3 linked regions of the Diceros bicornis minor genome follow. The protein of the gene in region 1 purifies or fractionates together with the protein of each later gene. This does not show direct contact. Links are inferred from orthologs where the notes say so. Each region holds a gene or a part of one and is shown in the gene's direction. Other genes may lie near its edges. The genes, in order: RAB5A, RABGGTA and CHM.

What was found.
Region 2: the proteins of RAB5A (region 1) and RABGGTA purify together in Homo sapiens (affinity purification with mass spectrometry; 3 studies listed by BioGRID and IntAct, counting the BioPlex papers as one, with this or other methods). This does not show direct contact. The link is inferred for Diceros bicornis minor from reciprocal best matches to the Homo sapiens genes RAB5A and RABGGTA.
Region 3: the proteins of RAB5A (region 1) and CHM purify together in Homo sapiens (affinity purification with mass spectrometry; 3 studies listed by BioGRID and IntAct, counting the BioPlex papers as one, with this or other methods). This does not show direct contact. The link is inferred for Diceros bicornis minor from reciprocal best matches to the Homo sapiens genes RAB5A and CHM.

Annotation. Positions count from the first base shown.
Region 1 is NC_080741.1:25,754,055-25,761,912, forward strand, and holds the start of RAB5A (ras-related protein Rab-5A), read left to right. Parts: upstream 1-4,761; 5' UTR 4,762-4,847; intron 4,848-7,858. UniProt on the Homo sapiens protein: The small GTPases Rab are key regulators of intracellular membrane trafficking, from the formation of transport vesicles to their fusion with membranes.
Region 2 is NC_080744.1:23,743,486-23,750,448, forward strand, and holds the start of RABGGTA (geranylgeranyl transferase type-2 subunit alpha), read left to right. Parts: upstream 1-3,914; 5' UTR 3,915-3,984; intron 3,985-4,164; 5' UTR 4,165-4,218; coding exon 4,219-4,221; intron 4,222-4,385; coding exon 4,386-4,496; intron 4,497-4,874; coding exon 4,875-4,999; intron 5,000-5,189; coding exon 5,190-5,377; intron 5,378-5,597; coding exon 5,598-5,801; intron 5,802-6,100; coding exon 6,101-6,184; intron 6,185-6,272; coding exon 6,273-6,355; intron 6,356-6,444; coding exon 6,445-6,546; intron 6,547-6,651; coding exon 6,652-6,757; intron 6,758-6,850; coding exon 6,851-6,902; intron 6,903-6,963. UniProt on the Homo sapiens protein: Catalyzes the transfer of a geranylgeranyl moiety from geranylgeranyl diphosphate to both cysteines of Rab proteins with the C-terminal sequence -XXCC, -XCXC and -CCXX, such as RAB1A, RAB3A, RAB5A and RAB7A.
Region 3 is NC_080781.1:78,471,829-78,479,659, reverse strand, and holds the start of CHM (rab proteins geranylgeranyltransferase component A 1), read left to right. Parts: upstream 1-4,736; 5' UTR 4,737-4,739; coding exon 4,740-4,788; intron 4,789-7,831. UniProt on the Homo sapiens protein: Substrate-binding subunit of the Rab geranylgeranyltransferase (GGTase) complex.

The DNA of each region.
Region 1 (7,858 bases):
GAAAGCTGTACCTGGCTCGAGGGAAGTTCCCAATTCCTTGAGGGGGCCCAACTCTCACGAAAGAGCACATCTCCACTCGAACTCCCTGCCCGCTACTTAACACCTAGCGAAGCTCACAGGGAAAACGGAGCTGGAGGTCTGTTTACCCGGTTACCTGGGAAACAGGGGCGTCGCTTGGCGTGCAATTCTCTCTCCCGAGCAGATCCCCGCCCATCTCTTCCTCTTTCTCTTCCGTCCGTTTCTCTCTCTCCTCTTCTCCCTTTCCTCTCTGTCTCCCTCTTTCTCTCTCTCCCTCTCTCTCATTCTGTCACTTTTCCCCCCTTCTTTACCAGATTTGGAGATCAAGAAAACTTGAAGGATGTGGTCTTCGGCACTAGAGCAAATGCTCACCAACTTCTCTCTAGTTTCCCAAGCAATGCAATCCTCTTAGGATGGGTTCATCCATGGGCTTCCTCCTGGCCGGTGGCCGATTCATTTTACCGGTGATCAGGGAATAAATAACCCTTTTTCTGGTGGTGGCCACTAATTTTAGGTCCTTCCTTGTGCAAGTACATGTACACTGCATGTAGTTTAAAAGCCCTAAAAAACTACTTTAAATTCTGTAAAGTTATATTTGGCAGCTGTGGTATAGAAACATGTTCAAATCTGTGAGAACACATACTTTAATAACTAGCCTTTAAATATCATTTAAAGTAAATATATTAAAGTTTGAGATGTGTTACACAATAATGCATACTGAATTTTTAAAATATTGTGGCAAATTCAAACTTAATGTTTTTAAGTATGAGATTTTCTTTAAATTGGGGTTACACCTCTGTCAGGTTTTAATGAGAGCGTGTTTGGTGAATATTTGTCATGTTCTATACATACAGGAGACATAGAACACCTAGTTTAGAATTTGAATGGAATTTATGGGAATCCAATTTTTTTAAGAACTCTATGAAAAACTTAAAATCCAAAAATTTTAAAAGTGATAAGGATACTATTTCACATTTGTAAAAACCGTGTAATTTTCTAGATAGTTAATATAAATATTCTTCTCACCCTAATCACTTTAAATGACTTGATAGTGTATAAATCAAGGTATGTTTGTATAAGAGTTCATTCAATTCTTTCATTTTACAAATAGCTATTGAGTCCCTACCTTGTGTCAGTGCTCGGAATACAGTGGAATATAAGCCAATCCTTATCTCATGGAATTTATATTCTAGTGGGTATAAGTAACCATCAAGTAAACCAATAAATAAGATCATTTCACATAGTGATAAGTGTTATGAAGAAAACAATGCTTTGATGTAAAGGGAAGCTACTTTAGAATTGGGGGGCTTAGAAGTCCCTTAGGTAGGTGACATTTGAGCTTGCATGATGCCCTGCAGAGACATGCTTTTTAAACATGACTAGCTCAAGTTTCCACAGCATTTTTCTCAGCGTCTTGTCATCATGCCTACGATTCTTTATGTTAGAATTACCTTTTGGTTTGTCTCCAGTCAAAATGTTACCATTCCTTACCACCGAGGCAAAGACTCATTCTTCAACTACACAATGGAGGAAAGATTTCCTGGAAGGGAAAGTAGAAGATAGGGGGTGCAGTGGATGATTGAGAGATGCAAACTGCTGGGAATTTGTGAGTGGGTGTTTAGAGATTTGAGGGCAAAGGAAGCACTAAGAACAGTGTTCAAGTCTTTATGACTTTATTTAGGGCCCATCCATTTTATAGTTAGTCTATCAACAAGTAGGATCCCACATTTCCCACTAAAATATATACAATTATCAGTCCTCAGTCATCTGGAGTTAGGAAAAAACACAGGCATATTGTGAGTGGCAATACAAGAGCAAAGCTTACTGTGGCATTTCAATCTCTCCAAAATTACCACAGGATTCTAGAGGTGCTAGCCACTGGAGCAGCACCCTCCCAAGCAAACACTATGACTAAACAATAAAATATAGTGGAATGTATTCATGAAGGAGGTGAATTAAAAGATAAAATTGGTAGAAAGAAATGAATGAGGAAGCAATATCCTAGAACAATGAAATGGGAAGTTTCCAGCAATTTACAAATTTCAGCATCCATGTGTTATTTGTTAGGTCTTCTTAAGTCATACGTTCACCATTCTAAATGTAATTAAGTTCACCAATATTTTTGGGGTCCCTATTATATGAATCAAAGGTCCTCTGGAGGAATTGACGATTAAATTATGGTCCAAGCCCTCAAGAACTTTAAAATCCTAATGGGAATGAAAGTCTAAGGAGAAAAGTCTAGGCACTCTCTAACTGTAAAATAAGGCAGATATTAGAACCATTATAGACAGTAAGGCAAAGTATCATGAAACTATAGGAAAAAGATAACTAAATCCAGTGGAAGTATCATCAGATGTGGTCCAGAGGAGTTGGCATCCTGGCTAAGGTGAGACCTGCAGTGACAGGCAGTAATGGTGTTCCAAGTGGAGAAAACAAAGCGATCAAAGACACCAAGATGAGAACACACAAGCAACATTCTGGGAACACAGAGTAGACTGGTATGATTAGGGCACAAAGCAGGAGTTTGGGATAGAGGGAGGCTACAGAAACAGAATGAAAGAAATGTGGGTTGGGACTAGAGTTGAAGAACTTTGGACTGTATTTAGCAAGTAATGAGATAGCATTGAACATTTTTGAGTAGGAGAGTGACTGGCTACAGCATAAAGAACGGATAGAAGAGGCAGGAGCATGTATTAATTCCAGTTTATATGAATACTATCAGGGCCCAGGCTTTGGGATTACATCTCAGATTTAGGGATTAGAGAATTTTGGGTGATAGAATGGACAACGGTTTAAGAGGGAAAAAAGGACGAGTTGAAGATGATTCTGCTCTTTCAAGCCCATGTGACTGGGAGGCTATTAATACCAGTCACCAAGCAGAAGCAGGTTTGGGGTGGAATAGGTTTGGTTTTGGACATACTGTTGACATGCCAAAACTGATGTGACATATCCTATTTCCTGATTCTTCCTAGGATTGTCCCAGAGGTATTACCATGACTAACACATCATATTGGAACAACCCCTGGGGATAAAGTGCTACAGATACCACTTATGTATGACACATTATGCTCTTCTGGTTAGTAACTAGGGAGTTGATCTGAAAGACTGGCTATTCAAGGGTTTAAATCATCTTCATTACATAATGTTGACTGAGCACCAACAAGATACCTTACCCCAAGTACACATAGTAGACAATCCATATCGATGTCCTCACAACAGGGCTATAAACGGTAAACTGCACATTGAAAAGTAGCCCTTATCCTGAGGGAAAATCAATTTAACATTCTACCAAGTTACAAAACGAATTTTTGTTTTGTTTTGTTTTGTTTCAGATGCCTGGTCAGAGACTGTCTATCGTGTGAGATTTAACCAAAGAAGCCTGTCTTATATAGGTCTCCAGTGGAGGATAATTAATGGCTTGTTTTTCACTGCAGTCGTGCTTAAGCACTCAGGTTCTGGAGCCAGCCTGCAGGTTAGAATGCAATTTCATCACCAACTCCGCGATGATTTTGCACAAATTACTCAATCTCTGTGCCTCAAATTCTTTACCTGTAAAACAGGCACGCCTCATTGACTAATTCCACAACCATGACTTAAGACTCCTGGCTGCCAGGCACTGTGCTAATCAGACAGCGGTGAGGACCACTTTGGGGAGTTAACATTCTAATGCAGGGAGGCAGACGATGAAGTTAGTTTCAGAGTGAAAGCTTCATGGTGTAAGAATAAAATGGGATAATTCCTGTAAAGTGCAGGACCCGTGAAGGGAAACTCTGAATGAAGTTAGCTATTATTCTAGGATTTGCCCCTCCCCACCAAAAACAAGTAAACTCGCAATAAAAGCATGTTATTACTTTAAGACTTCCCCGCCTAAAGACAACTTTTGGGATGGGGAGGGTCTCATCCTCCTCCCCGCAGTAAACACCACTTACCGGCCCTGACCGACCCAACCATCCACAGGGACACGCTGGGGGGCTCTCTCGTGGTAGAAAAGTCCCCTCAAAAAAGCCCCTTAGGCGAGTTACCAGGGTTGGGATGTCGCGGGGTAGGGTACGGGGAACTGTGAGCTCATATACACAGAGGGAACTTCGCCGCCCCACGTACGCTGGAAGCAACAAACCCAAGATCTCTGGGGCTTCCCCGAAAGCTAGGCGGTAATGGAGTTTCCCCCCCGCCCCTCCCGCCAGGAGGCCAAGACCGCCGTCCAGATAACAATGGCGCCGGCGGGGGCGGGGCCGCGCGCGCCTCGGGTGAGGGAGGGAGGAGGGAGGCGGCGGGATCCGAGCCCACTGCCCGGGAGTCACGTGACAAGCCCCGCCCCGCGAACTGGCCCCCGCTGGGAGGGCTTTGAGAGGGGCGGGGCAACGGTTGGAGCGGTCGGACAGGTGACGACCGGAAGTGACGAAGGGGCGTAGTTCGCTACGTGCAGCGACGTGGCGGCGAGGTCGGCGCCGGGCGGCGGAAGTGGCTCCCGCGCTGGGACTTGAGTGTTTGTGTTTTGGTTTGCGAAGGACCCGGCGGCCGGCCTGTGGGGAGGAGGCAGAGGAGGGAGGAGGAGGAAGAGTTAGTCGGAACTCGAGCGCCGGCGGCGGCGGTGGCGGTGGCGACGGCGGCGGAGGAGAAAGGAAAGAGGAAGGCGGAGCGGAGAGAGGCGGAGACGGAGCCCGACGGGGGCGGCACCACGGCACGAGCACCGCACCGTCCAGTCTAAGGGGAGCAGCGCGAGGAGACGCGCCGCCGCCAAAGCCACAGCCTCGGCCTCCTCTCGGGACACGCCTGTGACCTGCTGCCGGGAAGCTTCAGCCCCGCGGCTCCGCGTGCTGCGGCCTCAGGTAACCAGACCGTCCCTCGCCCTGCCCACAGCGGGCCGGGACCCCGGGTTCTTCGCGGTCCCCAGTCTGTCCGCGGCCCTGCCGGCCCCGAGCCCCCCGCCCCTTCTCCCTCGCGCGCGCGGGTGTCCTGGACCGGAGTGCTGTCGAACCCGGCGTCTCGTCCTGCCGGCCTGGTGACTCATCCTTCAAGGGGCTCTGGAGACCAGGATTTGGGGACTGGCTGCGGGAGCGACGGGTGTCACCCTCTTCCCTTCTCAAGATGGCGCCGTGAAAGAGTATTGGAGGCCGCGGTCCCGCCTGGCTCCTGCCCTGGCAGCCCTGGGGGGTCCCAGCCAGAGCCAGGCCAGGTTCAGGGGAGGAGAATGGGAATGATGGCCAGGGGGCCTGGCGGATCCTGCTCGTTCAGGCGATCCGGAGTTTGGTGTCAGTTGCTCAGGTGATCTCCAAGGAGGCACCGGGGCCTACGGCAGGTGTGAATTTGGGGAGCTCCGCCTGCCTTCGACTTCCAGAGATGGCTAATGGAGGGAGGAGGAGGAGGCTCGTCAAAATAGGCTGTCTAGAGACTCTTGTCTCATCTATGGAAGGTGGTGAACCGCAGCTTTGAAGAACTCAAGACAGCTAGGCCGCTGAACACCCTCAGTGGGTAGAGACCATTAAACCTGCTCTGCTGTTCTCTTTCCTGGAAGCTGCTTACCCCCCTGAGACTTTTTAAGCTCTGAACGTCGTAATTCACATATTTGGTTTTTGTCTTTTGCTTAAGTGGAGTCACAGTGTTGAATCAGTTGGTTTTCGCATAACTAGTAGGAAAAAAACACGTATACACCATTGATAATTCAGGACAGCTCACAAACTTTATTCATAATGTAAAATGGGGATAATCATATAAGCTCATAGGGTTGTTGTAAGCAAAATTCATAGAATAGTGCTTGGCACAGAAGTATCTAGTAAATGTTTGCTGCTATTAAAGCAATTTTAATCAAAGAGCACCCAGAAGGACTTTAACTATAGAATACCAGTTATTTTCAAAAGATTAAAAATGCGTTTTATGGAAAATCTTGTTTTGCAAAATAGAGAAGTTTCAATAGTGAATACAAATGTGCGTTTTTTAACTGTAATGTTATGCTAACTATATATGTATAGTTAAATTTATTTTCTGTTTGAGAGCCTTAGGAGGAACCATAATCCAATAGCTTTAAACCTTAAAAGGCAAAGCTAATTCGTAATTTTTTTTAATGGGAATCTGATGTTTTCCCTGAAATTTTGGAAGTACCATGGAAATTCGGAGTATATTGTCCTTGATGAGTAATTTAGTTTACTGTTTGTAGGTAATCAGACAATTGGGAAGTGTTTCAATTGCTGTTCTATGTAATCTAAAGGTGTGTTGGTGCATTTTCATCTACGTGACATTCTGTTGATATTTGCTCATTATCTCATCAACGGTCCACTTTAATTGCCAATTTTCAATCCCTACTATGTGTTGACCACTGTATTGGAGAGTTTTTACATATATTCTCTCATTTAATTCTCACAGCAGCTATGTAAGTTAGGTATTCTGGAAGTAGAGATTTGGAAATGAAAGCACTTGTTCCAGCAGAAATTGGTATAGCCAGCCAGGATTGTATCCCCAAATCTGGTGTGTTTTGAAGGGGATGGGAGGATAGATATGGGGGTTGTAGCGTTTTTTCATTATGGAAAATTTTTTAAATATTCAGAGGTAGGGAGGATAGTGCAATGAACCTGTCACCTGACTTCAATTATCTTATGGCCAGTCTTGTTTTATTTACATTCCCATTGTTTGGAAGCAACTCAGACATATCATTTCACCTGTTAAGTATTTTGGTATGTATTACTAAAAGATAAGGACTCTTCAAAGCTGCTGTTTAGATGAGGCAGAGGTGATTTTATTGTCTCGAGAATGTAAGGCCTCATGGATAGGTTTATTAATGAATTCATGGTCAAGAGGAATTCTTGTATAAACTCATTTCGTGGGGAAGGCAAATTTGCTTATATCAGGTTCCTAAATGAAACATAACAGTGATTTTAGGGAGAGAATCATCAGATTTAATATTATTAGTAAGCCCATGATCAGATTTTGATTAAAGATAGGAGAAAACTATTATGATTGGTTTGTGAATGGATTGGAAAAGAGTTCTTTAAATGTTTACTAATTTCTTTGAGATTGAAAATTAGCGTTATTAGATAATGATAAGAGAAGACACACAAGTTGCCATTCCGGCTAGTTTCTTCTAAATGTGTTAAATACAAAATAATGACATAGCCCCAAAACTACAGAAAAGTATAAGTAAATAAGACACTAATAAGCTCACCACATAAGAGAACCATGGTTATCATTTGCCTGTATGATGTACTTGAGCACATGAGGAAACAATTCTGTCTTATAGCCACTAGACACAAACTTGGGAGCCTTTAAATATTTGTTGCTCCAAAATTACCATTAATTAAACAAAGAACATGTACCATTTATTTTATTTATATATGTTTTTTTAGGAAGATCAGCCCTGAGCTAACATCCATGCTAATCCTCCTCTTTTTGCTGAGGAATACTGGCTCTGAGCTAACATCTATTGCCAGTCCTCCTGCTTTTTTTTCCCCAAAGCCCCACTAGATAGTCGTACGTTATAGCTGCACATCCTTCTAGTTGCTGTATGTGGGACGCGGCCTCAGCATGGCCAGAGAAGCGGTGCGTCGGTGCGCGCCTAGGATCCGGACCCGGGCCGCCAGTAGCGGAGCGCACGCACTTAACCGCTAAGCCACGGGGCGACCTGAACGTGTACCATTTAACGGAGGCCTTCAGATTATAATGGCCAACATTTATTGAGTTCTTACTCTGTTCTAGGATCTGTTCTACTTATTAACATAATTTTCCTCAAAACTGCTTTAACCCATGTAGTCTGGCTCCAGAACCTGAACTCTTGAGTCACCTCTCGGGTCTCCTGGCTTTGAAACTCAACTCTATCACAGTAACTGTGTGACCTCAATCAATTTACTTA
Region 2 (6,963 bases), on another chromosome or scaffold:
TCACCTGTGCGGTGGACAGACACCCAGGCTTTGGTTTGAATTCTGGCTGTGTTTCCTCCCAGCTGTGTGACATTGGGCAAGCAACTTATCCTCTGTGAACCCACTGTATGCATTGTTTCCTCACTGTAAAATATGGATAATAATACCTACCTCATAGAGGTAGTGAGTGCGTTAAATAAGATGTCTGGGGCTCAGTCAGTACTCAATTATTGCTTGTTCCTTTCTCTACATAGGAGGCAGTAAAATCCCTTCCTCAAACATCATTCAGATCATGGCCCTCAGACACCTGCCTGGTTCCCACTTATTCCATACAGGCGGCCAAATATAACTCCTGACAGCTCCTTTTGCCTTAAAGCAAGAGGCTCGTCATTGGTTCCATTGCTCTTATCTCCAAAGGCACCTGGCTCAGCTTCTGTCTGCCAGCCAGCTGAGTCTGTTTGGCTTTCTCTCCCCAACCTCCACGTCATCATTCACGCCTGAAATGCCCTTCCCGCCCTCTTTTTCCAAAACCAGGCCCTTCATTCTCTGAAACAGATTTCTTCATGAGACTCACTTCCTCTCTTAAGCTTGCTTGACTCAGCTTCCCTGGTTTCAAGATTGCTAATCACTGAAAAATATTTCCTGTCTACTTCAGCCTTTATCCCCCGCTCCCTCCTCCCTTAGTGACTATGATGTAAGACTGTTCTTGGGAAATCTACACCTGTGGGAATCTACATTCCCAGGTATCTGGTTGTACATGTGATTGTTATAGAGCAGGAAGCAAGAGCAAGCGGTGACCAAAAAAAAAAAAGCAGTTGGTGAGGTGGGAGGGCTGGACCAGAGCAGCCACAGGTCCCATTTGGCCACTTACTACATGGGTGGCCCTCAGCAAGTTACTGAACCTTTCTGACCCTCAATTTCCTTGTCACAAGATATTGTCACAAAGATCAGAAATAATATTATCATTACTACTATTACTATTTACCTAGCCTTTACTATCCTAAGCACTTTACATAGATTCTTTTATCTCATCTTCACTTCAACCCCGGCAGGTGGGTATTATTATTTTTTCTATGTTACTGTTTAAGCAACTAAGACACAGAGGAAACACAACACAGAGGTTAAGTACCTTACCCCTGGTCACAAAGCTAATAAGTGACAAAGCCAGGATCTGCACACAGGCAGCCAGGCTCCAGAGTCCACGTTCCTAACTACTCTGCTTCCTGCCTCCCACGTGTAATCCTGTGTGTGTGTAAAGCTCCTGACACAGTGCCGGGCACAAAGATAATAAAGCAGTGGTGTCATGCTTTGCTCACTGGGACTGCAGGTACACGAGGCCAGGAAAAGTGTCTCTTTTCCTCTGTACCCTGGTACAGGGCCTAGGAAAGGACAGAATAGAGGGTAGGCACTTTACACACATTTCCAGGGCCCGAGAAAGGTGTGGAAGAACTCTAAAGAATTTAAAGCCATACTTCCTCACCCGGATGTGAGTTATAAACATACACACACCACATGGACACACACGTCTCACAAATACATCACGCACACTCACACATACACATTCACTGGCCACCTTGAACCCCATGAAGGCTCCACCAGGAAACCTTCCTGAGCTGGTCCAGGCCACACGATCTCTCCCACCCCTGAATGCCAACAGCGCTCACTGTTAGGGCCAGCCAAGCCAGCCCTCACTATGTGGTGTTTTGTTTATTCATTCAAATAACTACTAGGAACCAGGGCCAGGTATTGCAGAGGCAAGACCAGAAAAGTGTTGTTTCTGCCCTAAAGGAACTTTGAATCTGATAGGAGATGCTGGCATACCACCCAAGACTTACAGTAGGCACGGGGAAATAAATCCTATCTTTGACAGCACATATGAAGGTCTTTTAAACCAGACTGGGGCATTTTGGAGAACTTCCTGGAGGTGACACTTGAGTTAAATCTTAAAGATGAACAGGAGTTACCCTGGCAAAGGAGGCGTGTGGAGGAAGGAGAGGCAAGAAGTGGGAACAGGTTAACATGTTTGGGAAACTACAAGTTGTTCTATCGGCTGTGATGAAGAGTTTTTAACAGGGACAGGCAGGACATGAGGCCAGAGGGGTAGGCAGGGCCCAAGCGCCAAAAGGCCTGATGTGCTAACCTGAGAGATTCAAGACTGTCCTGAAAAGCTCTCAGGAGCCGCGGAGGGCTTTTAGGCAGAGATGTGACATGATTGAATCTGCATTTTAGAAAGATCAATCCAGCAGCACAAAGGACGAACTGATAATAGAGGGGACAGGGTGTAGATGAGGGAACATTGAAAAGACTTTCAACAACCAGGAGAAGAAATGAGCTTCAATTCTTAGTGCACAGGGAAGGGAGAGGGCATTTAAGAGATAGTAAGGAAAAGTGAGGAGGGAATAGTGCCATTCACTGCAAGAGGAAAAGAAAAAGGCCAAAATTTAGACTGGATAGAAGGGAGACAATGATACCTTTTGACTTTCGGAGTTCAAGGCGTCTCTGGGACACCCAGGAGACAAGAGCTTCTCACATATTGAGGTATATGGGGTAACTATTGGGGTTCAAAACGGATTTGGCTTGAACTAAAAAGCCTGACTTATGGCCTATCAAACATACATTGTACATCTGCTTAATGATTAAAGTAAAGAATACACTTTCTTAAGACAAGAATGCATACTTCCCCTCCTAGGCCCTATTGGTAACGCCTGCATTGGTCCCTTTCCTGACATCACGGTCACGTTGACCTGCTAATTTGCAACTGGATACCTCTTTGAAATTTTGATGAAAACATATCCTGGGTGTGTTTAATGTACGTACTTTGTTCTAAAAAGATATAAGACTGTACTGAAAACCCCACTTCTCCGGAATGCTGTCTAAGGCCTTCCCGGGTTATAATCCTCACTCTGGCTCAAGTAAACTCACCTTATTTCTCTTATCTATAGAATGGTTATCGGTTATTTTGTGTCTATACAGGTGATATCTAACAGGCTTTTGAATATGTGTGGGCATATTTATAAAACATATACAACATATATATGAATATGTGTGTACATATCTATGTGTTCATTATTAAAGCTAGCAAGACATCTGGGCTGGAGATACAAGTTTGAGTGTCATCAGCTTACAGGCAGAAATTAAAACCGTGAGCGTGGGTGAAGTCACCCAGAGAAAGTGTGGGCCAGAAGACTTTTGTGGGCCCTGAGCTCTGGGGAGCTTCAACTCCAAGCAATTGAAGGCTTGCATTTGTGAACGTTCTCCCAGGAACAGCGTGTGAAATGAAAAGAGGATGAGGAAAAGGCCCTGGAGATCACCAACATGTAGGGCAAGAAAAGATGAAGAAAAGAGAAGAGAAGGGCAAAGGTGCACGAGGAGAAGCCAGAACAAGGTGTCAAGTCAAATAAGGCAGTAGCGTCAAATGCCCCAGAAGTCAAGGAAGATAAGGACAAGAAACTCCGTCAGTTAGATTTGGCAACTAGGAGGTGGCCACTCCGGCCAGAGTGAGGTCAATGGAGTGGGGAGGGCGTGGGTTTCCAGCTGTTGGAGAGATCTCTTCAACTAACTTGCACTTGGAGCAGAGAACTGGAATAGCAGCCCCGCAGCCTCCACGCGCGAGCCATACTCGCGCATGCGTACTCGTACACAGCAGAGGGCTAACGGGGACTTCGGGTTTTCGACAGCGCGCGCCGAGACCCCGCGCACGCGCCTCCGGAGCCCGCCTACTCCGCCGCGGGCCTCTCCCCAAGCCTGCAGAGGGCGCTGCACCTCGGAGAGCCGGGGCGTGGCGGCGCTCTAGCCAGCGGCTGGGCTCGGTGGCGGGCGCCGCAGCTCCGCGTCCCCCACGCCTCCTCCCAGCGCAGGTGGGTCCGCCCGCGAGGGGCGGGAGTGTCTGGGAGCCGTGGGGCGGGCGGGTAGCGGCAGCCTCTGGGCGCAGAGTGGTCCCCATCACCCAAGTGCCCCGGCTCGGGTCCGGCCCCAGCGGGTCGGGCTGTGGGCAGGGCCGCACGGGTACAAGTCCCATGCGGGTGGGAGAGCCTCCTCTTAGCCGTGCGGAGCCTGTTCCGGCACCCATTCACACCCCGGGGGGTGGGGGGGGTCTCCGCCGAGGCTCGCGTGGGGCTTCCGGGGGACAGCTGGAGGCGGGGCCGTCGGGGGCGGGGCTCCCATGATTGACACCTCTCTCCCCAGGTTTCCCGGGCTACCGCTGGACCCCTCCCCTGTCCTGAATCCTGAGCCGGCACCATGGTGAGAACCCTGAGCCCAACCCCTCGCCTTGGAATGCCGGTGCCCTCGCCCCGTTTGGCCTTGCCTCGGTTGCACTATATAAACCTGGGACTCCGCAGTGGGGGGTTCGGTGGGTCTGCCCTTGAAAGGCAGCCTGCACCCTTCCAACCCGCCCATCCCTTTAGCACGGGCGCCTGAAGGTGAAGACATCGGAAGAGCAAGCGGAGGCCAAAAGGCTAGAGCGGGAACAGAAGCTGAAGCTATACCAGTCAGCGACCCAGACGGTTTTCCAGAAGGTGGGGCCCTCAGAGGTAGCCCCCTCCCCAGGTGGCCTCCTTAGTATAGCACAGAGGCTGAGAGCTGGGCCTCAGAGTCAGACTGCCTGGATCCATATCTGGGTTCTATCACTTACTAACTTGTATGACCTTGGGCAAGTTACTGAATCTCTCTGGGCCTCAGTCTGCTCATTTGTAAAACGGGGCTAATAATTGCACTTACTGTGTAAGGCTGTTGTGAAAATTAAGTGAGAAAATACATGTAAACCCTTAAAGCACTTTGCATTGTACCTATTGTATAGTATGGGATTCACAGAATATTCGGTAGCTCTGTTTATGTTATTTAGCTCTGCAGTGGGAGAATGTTATGATCTCTGACCCTGCTACCCGTCTTCTCAGCGCCAGGCTGGGGAGCTGGATGAGTCCGTGCTGGAACTGACAAGCCAGATTCTGGGGGCCAACCCTGACTTTGCCACCCTCTGGAACTGTCGACGAGAGGTGCTCCAGCGGCTGGAGGCCCAGAAGTGCGTGGGGTTCAGTGCCCCAGGAAGGCAGCCCTGGCCCTGCCCCTGCCCTGCCTGGGTTCAAGGGTAGAGGAGGAGTGGGGCAGCCAGGGGCAGAGGCAGAGAGCAGTGGAGGGCTGGGTGTAGAAAGGCAGGGACAGCTGAAGGTGGGTGTTGGAGGGCCCTGACCTCCAGTCCCCTCTGGGTGCAGGTCCCCTGAGGAGCTGGCCGCTCTGGTGAAGGCAGAACTGGGCTTCCTGGAGAGCTGCCTGAGGGTGAACCCCAAGTCTTATGGTACTTGGCACCACCGCTGCTGGCTGCTGGGCCGCCTGCCAGAGCCCAACTGGGCCCGGGAGCTGGAACTGTGTGCCCGCTTCCTTGAGGTCGATGAGCGGAACTGTACGTGCCTGTTCTGTCCCCACAGCCCTCAGCTGCCCCACATCAGTAAGGCCCAGAGTGGGGAGGGATGGCCAGGATAGGCCCACTGAACTGGTGGCAGAAGGGATGGTAGAGCCAAATGCATCCTCCATGGAGTGCATAGGGGTGGAACGCTAGGGGTACCAGCCAGGGAGCTCCCCCTGCCCTGCTTCTGAGATGTGCTGTCACCCCTCCCCCCCAGTTCACTGCTGGGACTACCGGCGGTTTGTGGCTGCACAGGCAGCTGTGCCCCCTGCCGAGGAGCTAGCCTTCACTGACAGCCTCATCACCCGAAACTTCTCCAACTACTCCTCCTGGCATTACCGTTCCTGCCTCTTGCCCCAGCTGCACCCCCAGCCAGACTGTGGACCGCAGGGGCGCCTCCCCGAGGATGTTCTGCTCAAAGGTAAGCAGAGTCAGGGGTGCTGGGGATGACTCTGTAGCCCATCCTCCAGCCCTGAGGCCTAGCTCTGTTCCTGAACCTGCCTCTTGGGTTTATTGAACACCTACTTCATGCCTGGCTCTGGCGGTGCATAAGATTCAGCCCCTGGCTGCAGAGAGCATAAGTGTCCAATGGGGAAGATAAAACTGATGTATGCAGCCCCTGTGCAAGGCCAGCGTATACCTGAGCCTGAGGGCTGGAAGTGCTCCAAGGACAGGGTGGGATGTCCTGACCACAGCCCCGTGCCTCCTTGGCCCCTGCAGAGCTGGAGCTGGTGCAGAACGCCTTCTTCACTGACCCCAATGATCAGAGTGCCTGGTTCTACCACCGGTGGCTCCTGGGACGAGGTGAGCAATGGAGGAGGAGGCTGGGTGTTTAGGGCTTGGAAGGAATGGAAGAGTATTTACGGAGACCTGAGGCTGTGTCTTCCCCCAGCTGACTCCCAGGATGCCCTGCGCTGCCTGCACGTGAGCCGGGACGAGGCTTGTCTGACTGTCTCCTTCTCTCGGCCCCTCCTAGTGAGTCCTGCAGCTTTTGCTGGAGAGCATCCTGGATTGTGGGCCTGGTGCTGTTGGGCTGATGGGTCTCTCTTTGTCCCCTGTGCCAGGTGGGCTCCAGGATGGAGACCTTGCTGCTTATGGTGGATGAGTCGCCCCTGGCTGTGGAATGGAGGACCCCAGATGGCAGGAACCAGGCCAGCCATGTCTGGGTATCCTAGGATTGGTGGGGCATTGTGGGGGGCTGGGGCAGGGCTGGGGTGGGACAGTCAGAAAATGGTGAGGCCCGGGGTGTTTCCTTGACCCTGTGCTCCCAGCTCTGTGACCTTCCCGCTGCCTCTCTCAACGACCAGCTGCCCCAGCATACATTTCATGTCATTTGGACAGCAGGCGATGCCCAGAAGGAGTGTGTGCTTTTAAAAGGTGATGCGACCTGCACTCTGCACCCCTTGCAGCAGCCCCCCTCCCTCCCCTCCTCTCATGGCGTCCCCTCCCCCCACCTCCTCTTTCTCTCAGGCCGCCAGGAGGCCTGGTGCCGGGACTCGGCCACAGACGAGCAGCTCTTCAGGTGATGACAGGGAAGCACACGGACAAGGAGAAGAGCTCTGGGCGTCAGGCATCTGGGGCGG
Region 3 (7,831 bases), on another chromosome or scaffold:
CTTTCTAGTCTTTGTATGAGCTTTTTGCTGACTTATTAACCACATGCGTATTACTTGTTCAATTACAAACACAAAACCAGCTGATGAAACAAGTTTACTGGGCAATCAACTCATGTTATTCCCATTTAGAAGTACTAATGTGTTGTTTCCTGAAGATTTCCTATACTTTATTATTCATCCGTCCATTCAGCAGCTTTTCAAAAAACTTATTTTTTTGACAAGTAAAAATTATATATATTTAAGGTGTATAATGTGATGTTTTGATATATGTATACAGTGTGAAATGATTACCACAATCAAACTAATTAACATATCTATCACCTCCCATAGTTACCATTTTTTTGTGTGGTGAGAACACTTGAGACCTACAATCTTAGCAAATTTCATGTATACAATACATTATTATTGACTATAGTCATCATGCTGTACATTAGGTATCTAGAACTTATTCAACTTATAACTGAAATTTTGAACCCTTTGATCAATATCTCCCCTTTTCCCCAAACGCACAGCCTCTAGTAACCACCATTCTACTCTCTGTTACTATAAGGTTGACTTAAATTTTTTTTTTTTAGATTCCACATATTAGTGAGATCATGCAATATTTGTCATTCTGTGTCTGGCTTATTTCACTTAGCATAATGTTTTCCAGATTCATCCATGTTGTTGCAAATGGTAGGACTTCCTTCTTTTTACAGGCTGAATAATATTCCATATATAGATATATATCTATATATCTATACATCACATTTTCTTTATCCATTCATCTGTCGATGAACACAAGCTGTTTCCATATCTTGGCTACTGCGAATAAGGCTGCAATGAACAGGGGACTGCAGATATCTCTTCAAGATAGTGATTTTATTTGCTTTGAATATATACCCAGAAGTAGGATTTCAGTGGATATTTTGAGTGCCTATTATGTGCCAGGCACCGAATGATGTATTGGGAATATAACGATGAATAATATAGGCACAGTCCTTGCCTTTGTGGAACTTACCTTCTAGGAAGATGGCAGATATGAAACAAGTAATTGCATAAGTGATTTTATATTTTCAATTATGAAAAGTTCAACAAAGGAGTAGTACAGGGTGATAGGAGACCTAAGGTAGACTGAGGACTCAATGCAGACAGCAGAGTATGTGATGTTTTGAACGAACTGCAACATGAGTAGGATTAAGCTAGGAGAAAGGGGGAAGAAGGATAAAAGTGCACCTCAGGCACACGGAAGAGCATTTCTGAAGTCCCTGAAGCAGGAAGGAGCATGGGGTATTAGAGGAAACGAAGGAGAGCCAATATGGCTGGAGCTTAGAGAGAGAAGGGTGAGAGGTATGAGATGAGACTGCAGAGTTCAGCAGGGTCTTTTAGACCATGTTTAAAATTTTGGAGTATATTTTAGGAGCAATGGGAAATCACGAAGGCTTTAGGTAGAGGAGGACATGATAAGATTTGAATTTTTAAAAGTTTACCTGCAGTGTGGAGAGCGGACTGGAGAGAAGCAAGCATGAATAAGGGCTCTAGCTGAGACCTCCTGTCGTAGTCTAGGTAAGAGATTATGGGGCAGTCTAGATTGAGAAGTAGATATATTTACAATATAGCTTTGAGATAAATCTGCAAGAGTTGCTGATTAATTGGCTTAAAGGTGAAATAGAGTGATATATCAAGGATAATTTTCTTAAGTTTTTGACTTGAGCTAACTGACTAGAAAGTGGTACCATTTCCAAGGTAAATAACATTGGAAAAAGAGGTTTGGGAGCGGGGTTGAACTGTTCAGGAGTTCAGTATTCAACACGTTCAGAAGAGATGTTGAGTAAGGGGTTGTGTATATGGATCTGGAACTCAAAGGAAAGGCCAGGGATAGAGACTATTAAATTACTGGTTTGTAAACGATGATACATCAGATCCCACAGTTGAGTAAACTTCTAAATACAAGGTAAATGTTCATAGAATCGTGGTTTTTCAACTCAGGAAATCAAGTACAAAATTAGTGTCACAGTGATTGAATAGGGTAGTATATTTGTAGGTATCCATCATCTTATTGTACTGTGACTTATCCAAATAAAATATTTCAGTTCTCAAAAATAGATGTCCTTAGAATAATAGAATATATAGAAATTAAGTTGTTTTGCTTTATGATATTTTACTGATATTATCAACTCCTATATTTATGTTTACTTTGCAAAAAATCTACAAAAATACATTTGAAAGAAAAGGTATTTTGAGCATTTTCTCCATGCAGAGGCTTTAAATTTTTCTAATGTAATAATCTTTTCCATGCCCAGCGAGTGTGTGATAACTTTAGAGAAAGGAAGCTAAATATGGGCTGGCAATTTTATCTTTCTGAGAGTTGTGCTTTCCAGCCTCAGAAAAAAGGGAATTCAAATTTGGGGCAAAACATATTGGAAAATTAGTACTACGGAGTAATCACTTGTTTATTTTTGTTTTTTACTTCACTAGATATAAACTTCATGAAGACAGAGATTTTTGTCTTTTAGGTTCATTCCTGTAATCCCAGTGTCTAAATCAGTGCCTTGCACATAGTAGGTATTCAATAAATATTTGAGGAAAATTGAATGAATTTAATGAGTTGTGTCTTCACAGTGTGATTGCATTTGTTAGAAAATTTCTGAATCCATAGAAAGTTAGATATACTCATATCGAAAAGGATATATATATATATACACGTACACATGTATACACATATATCTCCAAAATAAGATAGAAATACTTTTATTTATCATGCTTCTAACCACCCATCTATGGCTTCTCTCTGTTAGAGGAGATTTTGGAAACTTTCTTGTGTCTACCTTGGGAAATCTTTAATTTCCATTTTCACTGGTGGTGTTAAGAGTCTCACAGATAAGATCTATTTCACTTTTGATAATACTCAAAACTTTCTTTTCATATCAAAGCAAATGGCAGAGTGGTTTACTGAACAATATATTACACTTCTCAGAGGAATCTCTTTTACACAAAATATTCATCAGAGGACCATATCACAAGAGAATTGTTCAATATAACAAGATAATCTATAAAAGAAATTAATGAAACATGCACAATGTTGCTAATGATTATAGCAAAATGCAATGAAATGAGGCAAAAAAAACCCATTAAAATACAATTTTAAGAATTTTCATGGAACTTCAGCAAAGTAACAAACATGCATTGAGCATCTTCAGAATATAAGATACCTCATAGTAGTTGGCAGACATCACGGTGAAGACTTAAGTCCCTGTCTCCATAGTACTTACCATGTATTAGAGAAGTCAGAACTAAGCTCAGTTCAGCAAACACTTATTTAATCCCTACTCTGCACCAGGTTTATGTTAGATGCAGGGGGTAAAAAGATAAATAAGGCACAGTCCTTATCATACAGGGGCTTATAATTTAGAACGCTGTATATCTGGATGTGTATTTTTGTGAGTATGTCTGGGGATATGTGTACTGTATAGGAACCAAGATAAACGCAAATAATTTCAGTGTAATATGGCAGTTTATGACAGAGTGGTAGCACTACATAGAGAAATTTAACCCAATATAGGGAGGAGATAAAAGGAGGAGGTGGTGGAAGCCGAGCTGAATCTCGGGGATAAATGTTAGCTAGAGAATGGGAAGATTATTCCATGCTGAAGGAACAACAGTGTGACTGGGGGACCACAAACAGCTCAGAGGACAGGAGGTGTGAGGGAAGGTCCACTACTGCACTCTCTCTCTGAATTATTTTGAAACTCTTGCAAAATAACTACACAATGAATTTCTGGGATCAAAAAAGTACTCTTCCTCACTCCCACGCACCCTTCCCTTCTTTTTTGCTTTGGTATTGCCAGACAGCAAAGCATTTTAAATGACGGGGGGTGGTGGGGGGAGGGGGTGGGAGGAGGCCGACCTTGAAAATACTTATGAGAGCTATGTTAGCTGCTTCGCATAGACAATCTAAGCCCCTTCATCAAATGCAATCAGTTTAATATAAAGGCCATTTTACCTTGATTATTTCTGCGGTGGCTTATCAGGAGAATCTTGTACGGACTTCTCGTATATGTATAGAAAACCAGATTCAGAATCAATAAACGCTTATCAAGCAAATACTATGCTTTCATATGTTTTTCCCTCCTGTAAAGCAAGGCTAATTTTGCAAATATATATTGCCAGCGTGGCTGTTTGGACTAACTAGAACAAATACAGACACGGCAAGGGTTCCATTCTGGCGAAACTAGGGCGAGAGGTTTTTTTGTGAGTTTTCACTGGGGAGACACACAGACAAAAAAAGTACGGGATATATTTTGAAAGTATTGTGTGAAAAATTACGCCTCGCGGGCCAAAAAGAAAGTACAGACACACTGGGGGAAACAGTCTCCAGGCTGGAATGAAAATTTCCTTTGTTCACAGAGCAATCCTCTTTCAATTTCACTCCGCCCTCCGTGTCTCTTAGCAATTCTTGCTTCATCATTGTCAAGGGGTATCCAGGTCTTCCCACATTCATCGGAGTAAAAATCTACATCTTTTTTCTACTCCAAACCTCCAAGCTAAATGTGCTACTGCACTCAGCCTGGAAAATGAATCGAGCTTTTAATATTCGCCTAAACATTTCAAATATAATGCTGTAGCCGCCTACCTGGACCTGCCACCCAGGAACTACAATACCCAGAATGCACTGTTTTCCCTTCCGCCTTCTACCAAAGCAATGCCTAATTTGATCTCATTTCCACAAGCAATAGTCACATGACACGTTTCCTGTCAAGATGGCGGATAATCTCCCTTCGGAGTTTGATGTGATCGTAATAGGGACGGGTATGTGTGGCTCTGGTACTCCCCGGACAAAGTGTAGGAAGTCTATCTCGTTCCTACCTTCTCTGTCAGTGGCGAGGATTGGCGAGAAATGCCGAGGATCGAGTATAGGAGGGAGGACGGAAAGGAAGTGAGGTAGTCTGGAATCAGCGCGGGACTTTGCAGCTCCAGGGAGGGGCTTGGACCCGCGGTGCTTAGCGCCGTTTGAGTAGGGGTCGATCTGGTCGATGCCGATTGCTGAGGTTGGTTGCTGCGGGTGATTCCTGTAATTTACTTAGAGGGAGGTGGGTTTGCAGTGTCATGAGAATGGAGGGTCGGGATTATATCAGTGGAGACGCCTTTGGCATGACATTATGATTCCCTCCTTGTTGATTTCAAGGTGCTATTCCCGATCAGTTTGTCTCGCCATTGCATAGGAATTTTTCATATAGTTATATAATCCTAGGGTGCAGTGCAGCTCAGATACAGCTTAATCCTCAGTTTTCAGAGAAAGATGCTCAGTTGTTGCCCTTGTGCGTGTTAATTCACTGGGGTGAGGAAACGGATTCTTTTCTATTGTGTTGAGAAGCTTAGGGAATTGTATTTTGTTGAGGTAGCCATTATTCCTGCTTTATGGTGCTGAAAGAAGGCATTTTGCCTTCTACCACCCACGTGTCTACCCACAACGAAATGAGCTGAGAACAAGCTGCTGTTAGTTCCAGTTCAGGTGTGTGACCTTATCTTTCCCTTGTTTTCCCATCGTTTATTTTCCATGTTTTGGGTGGTGTCAGAAACCCCCAGCAATTTCTAGTTGACAAATTCCACGTACAACTCGTGGCAGAAGACATTTGGCAGCAATTGGTATTTTGTTTTTCTTAACAGTGTAGAGTGGATTTTAGATGGGATGAAATAGGTTGTTGGGTGGAGTTTTCTCCTGTCTGCAGAATGTGGTAGGCCGGAGAGGGTCTGGTGGATGAGACCCTGACCATTGTGTTCATGAGTTTAGTTCGTTGTCCTCTCAAACAGTAGGAGCAGCCATGTTACCAGGGCGGGAGTAAAAATAATAGCTACCTGTTTGAATGCTTATTGTTTGCTAATCTATGTGCTAAGCACTCTACAAGCCGTATGTAATCCTCACAACAGCGTTGTTAGAGTAGGTATTCTCTACACTTTACAGAAAAGGAAAAGGGAGCTTAGAAATGTTGCAGTTTGCTCAAGATCACACAGCTGGTAAATTTCCAAAGGCCCATTCCATTCTAGGAGAAACAGTGGTTTTGACCCTCAGAGTTAACCCATATGAGTAGAAATAATTGGGAAAACTTTGTTCTAGACCATGCTTGGCCATTAACTAGCTGTGTGAATTGCTAGGACTAGGCACTTAATCTCTGAGTCTTAGTTTTCTTGTTTTTGAATATAGGGAGGGTCAACTAGATAGCCTTTTAGATGTTGTCTGACCAAAAATTCTCTTGTTCTGGTTGCACCTGGGTAATTGTTCTCAGAACAGCGAGGACATGTTTATTCCCAACCTGAAAACTGCATGGGTGCAGATAACCTGGCTGTAGCTGCTATATACAGATGTTGGATGAGAGCTGGAAGGAACCAATAGACTATTCTCTTATTTTATCCAGTCTATCCTAAAACTAAGAACAACATCCATTTTAGAATAGTTGTTATACCATACTTGGGATCTATATTATTGCCTTTCTTTTTTATTACCTAGGAATTTGGGGTGTTTTAAAATTTTTTTTGAACCATTGAGACTTTTTTGTTATCTGGATTCAAGTTTTAATTGATGAGTGCTAATTCTTATTATTAAATGCTGTTAATTCTTATAATAAATTTTGCCTTCTGGTTCTGTTCATAATATGGACTACAGCCATTCCATTGGAGTCTGTTATAATAGAGGTAGGAAGATACTGTGAGTGATACAGAAAATGGCTTCAAGAGGCATCTCGTGTATTTGGAAAAAGATTCATTTTAGACTTATTCCAGTGAGAGTAACGTAGTTTCTCAAAGCATGGGAAGAAGTTATTTGAAGTTGATCTTAAAAGTTAAGGTTTTCATATCACTCCATGTTGAACACATTCCGAGTTTATCAAGCACATTGCTTAAATTTATGATATGGAGCTTTGTTTTTAGGTTCGTCACATTGGAAAAATTGGATGAAAGTCATTTCCCAAATAAATGATTCCAATAATTCCAATCATTACTTAATTGGAATTATTTTTAATGTGTTTGGACTATTTCTCTTCTGAAATAGTTTGCTGAAAGTAGCCGTTAAAACGTGTTTGCTTTACTAAATGTACTAACTTGAGTAAATCATAAGAAAAGCAGTGTTTCGTAGATTCAGTTTTACCAACAAAAGCATAATTAATCATGCATGTATCAGAAACATGAAGAAATAGGCTATGAGATGTAATTTTTCTTTTAGCAGATTTAGTTCTAGTTAAAATGTCATCAAGACAGTTGCTTCATCAGTAAAATCTCTGGATAATATTTTAGATCCCTTTGACCTTAATTAATATATTTCTTTTCATTTTTCATAACAAGATTTTCCTGAAGATCATGTTTTGAAGAGATTATGAGAAAATAAAGTTTTGTGTGTCTTTTCTTAGTTAAGCACATTTCCTCTTGATTACAAAATGCAGGAAATCTCTCTCAGACACCCAAAGGCAGAGGAATAAGATAAAGTACTTGAACCATGGAAAATATGGAATAAAATGGAATAAGGAAGGAGGGTCAACTGAGTCTTAAGGGAGAAGACACAAATGGATATGTGATAAGTGTCTACAAAGTGGCCTTCAGTTTGGGTACACAATTGTCATTTTAAAGACATTTTGTCATTTAAAAAGATTTGAATGATAGTTTTGTGGGTTGTAGAGAAGTGTCGTTGGCTTCAGGTTAAAAATAGTCCCAGTAACATAACACATCACCCGAGGTGACTTATCTGGCGACCTGTGTAATCTGCAGCAGAGCCAACAACTCAGTAGAAGGGCAGGCAAGATGGAAATGACAAGAGCTATGTGATAATATCGGAATGCTTCTTACACGGGGGAATCCCCTCAGG